2 linked regions of the Ovis aries genome follow. The protein of the gene in region 1 binds, or shares a complex with, the protein of each later gene. Links are inferred from orthologs where the notes say so. Each region holds a gene or a part of one and is shown in the gene's direction. Other genes may lie near its edges.

Region 1 (3,816 bases):
GAGGAGGGCCCCACACAAAGGTGGAGTCGTGACCCACTGCGCCTCGCCCCCAGGTTCTACTGGGACTTTACCATGCTGCTCTTCATGGTGGGAAACCTCATCATCATCCCTGTGGGCATCACCTTCTTCAAGGACGAGACCACGGCCCCGTGGATTGTGTTCAACGTTGTCTCGGACACATTCTTCCTCATGGACCTGGTGCTGAACTTCCGCACGGGCATCGTGATCGAGGACAACACGGAGATCATCCTGGACCCCGAGAAGATCAAGAAGAAGTACCTGCGGACATGGTTCGTGGTGGACTTCGTATCCTCCATCCCCGTGGACTACATCTTCCTCATCGTGGAGAAAGGCATCGACTCTGAGGTCTACAAGACGGCCCGCGCCCTGCGCATCGTGCGCTTCACCAAGATCCTCAGCCTGTTGCGCCTGCTCCGCTTGTCGCGCCTCATCCGTTACATCCATCAGTGGGAGGAGGTGAGCGGCTACGCATGGGCGCAGGGGCGCGGCCACGGGCGTGAGCGGGGCTTGTGGGGCTGGGGCACAGAGGCCAGGGTGGGGTCAGTGGGGTCGTAATGGGCTGGAACTGGGCTGGGATGTAGGGGCAGGGTCGTGATGGGCGAGGGTGTGCTGATGGGTGAGGATGCTGTTATGGTGATGGGACCAGGCGATGACTACAGGTGGCACCAGGAACAAAAAGGCCGGGCCATGATGGGAGACCCTTGGCAGGGGGTGCTGCAGGGTCCAGGGGCGTACAATAAGACAGGCGGGATTAGACACACAAGAGTATCGGTGTCACTGAGTACACTGCGCGGAATTACAGGAGCTGCATAGAGGGTCCTTGGAAACTTAGGGGTGGAACCTGGGTGAGCTAGGGGCGTGGTCACAGGAGCCCCTACCTGCTGGGGAGTGGGGTCACAGGAAGCACTGCATGAATCCTTGACACATCTGCAGCCCTTCCTTCGTTCTGCCCTGTGAGAGGCAGAGTCCACAGCCCTGTTGGCAGTGGGGAAACTGAGGCCCCAAGGAGTGAAATCATGACCCTCTCCCCCAAGTTCAGACCCACTTCTGGACTCCGTGTGACCTGACTTCTGCAGCCCATGGCCACCACACAGGCTCAGTCACCAGCACTTTCCAGGATGGTGACAGGCTGCCATCAGGGGAGCGGGTGGGGACTGGGTCACTGGAAGAGGCAGTGGTCCTCAGAGAGGACAGTGGATGGCCGGCCAGGCAGAGATTTGGTGCCTGGGCGGCAGGCTGGTAAGGGGCCATGTTCTCTAGTCTAGGGCACTTCACTACCTTGAAAGGCCTACGGGGAGTGGGGGCTACGAGGAAGTAAGGGCTGCCCCTCACGGGGGACTGCGTCTTCCCACTGCTGGGACACAAGTAACCATGGGTCTGCCGGACGCTCACATGAGCTGCCCTGCCCTGCCCACAGATCTTCCACATGACCTACGACCTGGCGAGTGCGGTCATGCGCATCTGCAACCTCATCAGCATGATGCTGCTCCTCTGCCACTGGGATGGCTGCCTGCAGTTCCTGGTGCCCATGCTTCAGGACTTCCCACGCAACTGCTGGGTCTCCATCAACGGCATGGTGGTGAGCCCCGCGCCCGTGTCCCTCTTGCGTGCCTGGAGCACAGGGCGCCTGAAAACCCCTCTGGTGCTGAGCACTCCTCTGGGCTGCTGTCCCAGTTGGAGCCTTGCAGATCCAGAACTATGGAGATCTGTTGCCGTTTGAGGGCAGTAGAGCTGCTTTTGTCCCCCTCTCCCCTTTAGAAATCACGTCATCTGCTTACTATTCTGTGATCCATTCCACTCTTTTATTTGCACGCATGTATGTGCATGCTATTGCTTAGTCATGTCTCTTTTCGACCCCCTGGAGTGCAGCCCACCAGGCTCTTCTGTCCATGGGATTCTCCAGGCAAGAATACTGGAATGGGTTGCCATTTCCTCAAGGGCATTTTCCAAACCCAAGCATCGAACCCGCATCTCCTGCATTGGCAGGCGGACTCTTTCCCACTGAACCACCTGGGAAGCCCATTTTATTTGCACCCATGTGTTTAAATGACAATTTTATCATAGTCCTCAGATGGGAAAGTAGCATCAACGGTCTTGAGAAGTAATAAATTGGGAGATTCAGGAGCACCTATTGCTTTCTGGCTGAGACTGTTAACAAGCCTTTCTCCTGCTGGGGTGCATTTGGGGCACAGGGCAGGTGGGCATTGATGGGCGGGAGCACTGGAGGGAAAACCCTTGGGCGCCCAGCCTAGCGCCTAGCACAGCTGCCTGGCTGAGGCAGCTCATTGTCTGGCCGGACACCCAGGCATGTGGTCCTGTTTCCTGAACAGGGCCCACTGCCCCTCCCCTAGCTGGTTCAACTGAGGACTGGTCGGGGGTGGTGGGTTTCTTCCTGATCCTGTCTGATGCTTCTTCCACCCCGCCCCTCTGATCAGGATTTCAGTGTCCCCAGCTCGCTGTCCCCAGGACTTCCCCATTCTTTGGCCTCAAAGACACTCACCAGAGGTTGTGAAGTAGTGAGGGCTCTTGAACACCCAGGGCTGGACTCTAGCTGTTTGGAGCCTGTTTCCCCAGGAATGAAGTGGGGAGGTGGCTTCACGCTGGCCCTCTGCTGAGTTGCTGTAACATGTGTGCACATCACGTCGGCTGCCTAAATCTAGTTTCTCTTGGTTGACTCTGGACACAGGGAGCCGGATGCCTGGGGAAGGGTGGGCAGGCAGGGCCCTGGGGCGGGGCGGGTCAAGGGGCTCCCTGGGGACAGGGAGCCCCTGCCCACCACCCACCCTTGGACTTGCAGAACCACTCATGGAGCGAGCTCTACTCCTTCGCGCTGTTCAAGGCCATGAGCCACATGCTGTGCATCGGGTACGGGCGGCAGGCGCCAGAGAGCATGACGGACATCTGGCTGACCATGCTGAGCATGATCGTGGGTGCCACCTGCTACGCCATGTTCATTGGCCACGCCACCGCCCTCATCCAGTCGCTGGACTCCTCGAGGCGCCAGTACCAGGAGAAGGTCTGAGGGGGGAGGAACCCCCGAGGGTCTGGGGTCCACCCCACATCCCTCCAGCTCCATGTGTTGTGCTCAGGATGGAGGCCAGAGGGGTAGAGGGGATGGGGACCTCAGAAGGGCCTGTGACTGTGATCAGGACTGGACCACCCCCCCCTCAGTGGGGGGAGCAGCTCACAGAAGGACAGTGAGAAAGCTCAGAACTCTGAGGAAGAAGTCTAGAGGGGACATAGGGGCTGATGAAGGGAAAAGGAGGGAGAAGAGGTCTAAAAAGGACAGGGCCAGGAGACCCCTTGGTGAGGGGTGTCTCTGGGCTGTCCCAGGAAGGGTGGAGGTGCTGGGGTTGCTCAAGGACACAAGGGAGGCCTCTGGGAAGCAAGGATGTCCTAGGACTTGGCCTCCCTGGGGCCAGTCCAATGTGGCCCCATAGGCCAGCCCTTCCTGGAGGTCAGCTTCAGTCTTCTGCCTCAGTTTCCCCTCCCTCAGGCCAAGGGTGGCCCAGTTCCCCAAACCCTGCCCCACTGTCCCTGTACTACTACCCCAGGGCTAGCCTTGGCCCAGTAGCTGCCTCACCCCAGCAATGCCCAGCAGTCAGGTCGGCCGGGTCAGCTGGGCCTGGTGCCAGGCGCCCCGGCTGTCCGGAAGCCACCAGCCTCCCACCCAAACACGAGCTGGTGCCGCCACCCGCCTGCCGTCACGGGTTCCGCTGAGCTCAGGACAGCTGTGGCTGGGCGGGGCTAGGGCGGAAGCGGGGCCAGAGCTCCCCTGGGGGTGCCACCCTGGGG
Region 2 (3,816 bases), on another chromosome or scaffold:
ACAACACAAATTTATTATCCTGTAATTCTGGAAATCAGCTATCCTAAAATCAAGGTATCAGGAGGGCTCTATTCTTTCTGGAGGCTCTAAAGGAGAATTCATTCCCTTGCCTTTTCCAGATTCTAGATGGTACCTCGAATTCCCTGGCCTTTGGCCCCATATTCCATCTCCGAAGCCAACAGCATAGCATCTTCAAGTCACTTTCTGTTTCCTTCTCTCTCCACCCTCCACTGCCACCATCTCTTAGTCTCCCTCTCTCTCTCTCTCTCTCTCCTCCTGTCTCTCTCTCCTCCTGTGTCCCTCTCTCTCCCCTTCTATCTCTCACTCTCTCTGCTTGTCTCTCACTCTCTCCCTCTTTCTCTCTCTCCCCACCTCTCTCTCCGTTTCTTGCTGTCTCTCTCTTTGCCCTCACCTCTCACTCTCTCTCTCCTCATCTCTTAGATAGATGGAGATATCTATTTCCATCACTGTCTCTCTCCATTACTCTCTGTCCCCATCTCTCACTCTCTCCCTCTCTCACTCTCTTTCTCTCTCCCGCTATTGTTCACTCACTCTCCCACTATCTCTCACTCTGTCTCTCCCCCTTGTCTCTCTCTCTCACTCTCTCTCTCCTCATCTCTTAGATAGATGGAGATATCTATTTCCATCACTGTCTCTCTCCATCACTCTCTCTCCCCATCTCTCACTCTCTCCCTCTCTCACTCTCTTTCTCTCTCCCGCTATTGTTCACTCACTCTCCCACTATCTCTCACTCTGTCTCTCCCCCTTGTCTCTCTCTCTCTCTCTCTCACACACACACACACACACACACACACACACACACACACACACACACAATTTCACTTCCACGATATATCAGGTGATTATTTTAATTCAAACACAAATTCTGGAACACAAGCCTTCATGTGCCTAAGAGAATATTTAAAATCAGATTGAGAAAATCAGTAGAGCAGACACCCCCTTCCATACCCAGGTATGCTATCTATGAAGCCCATATGGAACAGTGACATCGGATGCCCTTTATTTTTGTCTTAACTAAAGTACACACCACACACATACACACACATACTCACATACTCCCACGCTAAAATGAGATTTGTCTTTCTTCAGAAAGCGAAAGGCTGCACACATTCTTCTATGGTTTTGAAACTGTGTTCCTCAGGGACTCTCTCTGCTTCAAGCTTGCCATTCAACCTCCAAGGCACCCCCTTCATCAACTGAGGAACAAATAAAGCCTTTTGTGTGTGCCTAGCAGTTGTTTCACATTTGCTAGGAAAAGAACAAAGAAACAGAGACCTCAGAACAAACACAGGAAGTGCTGAGGACAGCTTGGAGGGGAAAAGAACGTTACTGAGCCAAGTTTGAATTCGCAATTCAGTCTCTGAGTAATTCATTTATTCTGAATGGTGAGAAACAGATATAGAGTTAAATTAATACTCATCAGTTATTATTCTGTAACAAATGTACTTCCTATCTACAAGCAGACAAGTCCTATATAATTTTCTTCTAAAAGAAGTGTAGGAGAAAGTGACTAATTCTTGTTTGTGCAATTAGTAAAAAGGCATATATGGCATTTCAGAGACTGTTATTCACTTCCTTCCTTCTGTTAGAAGGAAATCACAGTGGGCCTAGAATCCCTGCCAACATTAACAGTGGCCTAGAATTTTCTATTTAAACATTCAAAAGATATGAAATGTGTGGCATCCAAGCCTACCCTGGCTGCTTGCCGTGCTTAACTTTTAGACACCAAGCCAGCCAGAACACTCCTCCACGGCTCGGAGCATCTTACTGTGGAAAGTGACTCCTATCTCAGGAAGACCGGGACAAGATAAGCTCACATGAGATGACACTTTCAGGCCATTTTATGATAAATTTACTTTATAGCATCTTCTGTAGAGCCAATAGCCTGTCTCATCTGCCATTTTATTCCCAGGGGTGTTTTCCTGTTTCTGTCAGTGTATGGATAGGATTCTTGCCTAAAACAGAGGGGAGTGGGGGAAACAGGAGATAAAGGAAAAGGAAAGAAAAGCATCACAAATTGGCCACCAAAGAATGGAAATAATATTTATTGAATACTTGCAGTATGTTGGGCACTTCACACATTTGATTTATAAATTAGATAATTTAATCTTCATATCATATCTAATGCAGAGACTTAATTCTGCATGTTTTAAGTGAGGACATTAAAACTCAGAGATGTCAATAAACTTACTCCAAGTCACACAGCTAGGCAGTGGCAGAGTCTGGTCTTTCCACTTCACCATTAACACCCCAACCATTGTGATATATACTTGAAATCAGAAAGCAAGATTATAGAAAGTTTTACATCCTATCCTAAGGATCCCATATGATGGCTAGCTCATGAGAACACTTCAGTACTAAAGAAATCCTGGTTGTGAACTAAATTAATCCCTGACCCTGCATTGAATGCAAGGGGGAAATAGATGGAAGAGTGTTGAGATGTCAACAAAGATCCATTTCCTACCAAGAGGAAAAACCAAGAGATCAAAGAGGAGGAGAAGGAGCTGTGCAGAGGTTGTTGTAGACAGTGCTGGAAAGAGTTAGCATAAGGAGTGTCCCTGCCACTTTGGTGGCTTTTCTAAGCTAGCCAGGAAAGAGATCCTAGGTCAGGAAGCCATCAGGCCAGTTGAGAAGCCACTCTGGGATGCTGGGGCTAAAAGAGAAGTAGAGCTGGAGGTACCTTTTCTAATAGGAATTTTCCATTTCTCACAATGAGCTAGTCAAACAGCAGTTACTTGCACTTAAGAGAAAGAATGAAAAGTTACATAGCTTGCCTTTTTAATTCTCATTTGCCTAGTTTGCATTTGAACAAATTCTTATTTCTGCCTTCATTAGAGTATTTAACACAATGTAATCAACCTGCTGGGAAGTAAAAGTGTAACCATTTTATGGTTTGTCACATTGAAATTTAAATTTGCATATTAAACAGCAAAGGCATTAACATGTGTACCTATTCATCAACTATGGATTATGAAATACCTCTCTAGTGTGAGCCCAAACATCAAGCCGTTTTCTGAGTAAAGTGCTTAATTAAATAAAAGATGATTAGCAACATTCATTTATGCCCTAGATACTTTAGCAGTTTGAAATTAAAATACAAAGACATTTAGAAACTTTACCAAATCTTCCTCATCACTGTTTTGCAAGCATCTCTCAGAATATGATACATTGACTCTATGCTGGGAAAAAAACTTCACTCTAAAATATACCTCTTTATAAATAAAGCAAAGCAATCAAGTAAATAGTACCTGAACTCAGATTCAATTTTATCACTTTAATTCCATTCAAACTTTCATCACTGGTGCGACTGGTCTAAGCCTTATTCTGCAGATTTCTACCATGCCAAATAAAAGAGAACATGCAGCAAGTTTCCCAGTCTAAATGCAAACCGTCTTGATAAATCAATGGTGAGCTAACTTAATTTGGTGCTTCTAACCTATACTGCAAACACAAAATCCTTCTGCACCCAAATGAAGCTTATTTTTAAAAAAGAATTTCAGAGCAGTGAGTGAGCTTATCTTAATGTCTTCTCTCTCTTACAGTATTGACTACAGGCTTAGATCTCCTTGACTTGAGTGAACCTGTCTCTCAAACCCAAACCAAAGCCAAGAAGTTGGAGGCCTCATCAAAAACCTCATCCCTCAAGAAAAAGGCTGATGGGTCTGACCTCATCAGTGCAGATGCTGAGCAGAGAGGCCAGGCTCTCCGAGGCTCGGAGACAGCATCCTTAGACTTAAGTAAGGCAATAGCTGTGTTTGCTGCCTTGATACAAAGCCATTCTACAGATGACATGAA

What was found.
Region 2: the proteins of HCN2 (region 1) and PEX5L are in contact, whole or in part, in a crystal structure (PDB 4EQF), measured with the Mus musculus proteins. The link is inferred for Ovis aries from reciprocal best matches to the Homo sapiens genes HCN2 and PEX5L. Residues at the interface, in NP_032252.1 of Mus musculus: Leu859, Ser860, Ser861, Asn862, Leu863; in NP_001156988.1 of Mus musculus: Glu315, Glu317, Val343, Asn347, His426, Asn453, Arg454, Ala457, Thr458, Ala460, Asn461, Tyr472, Arg484, Tyr487, Asn488, Ile491, Ile494, Ile537.

The regions. Positions count from the first base shown.
Region 1 is NC_056058.1:40,903,918-40,907,733, forward strand, and holds part of HCN2 (potassium/sodium hyperpolarization-activated cyclic nucleotide-gated channel 2), read left to right. Parts: intron 1-53; coding exon 54-477; intron 478-1,438; coding exon 1,439-1,600; intron 1,601-2,818; coding exon 2,819-3,037; intron 3,038-3,816. UniProt on the Homo sapiens protein: Hyperpolarization-activated ion channel that is permeable to sodium and potassium ions. Displays lower selectivity for K(+) over Na(+) ions. Contributes to the native pacemaker currents in heart (If) and in neurons (Ih).
Region 2 is NC_056054.1:207,989,481-207,993,296, forward strand, and holds part of PEX5L (PEX5-related protein), read left to right. Parts: intron 1-3,563; coding exon 3,564-3,758; intron 3,759-3,816. UniProt on the Homo sapiens protein: Accessory subunit of hyperpolarization-activated cyclic nucleotide-gated (HCN) channels, regulating their cell-surface expression and cyclic nucleotide dependence.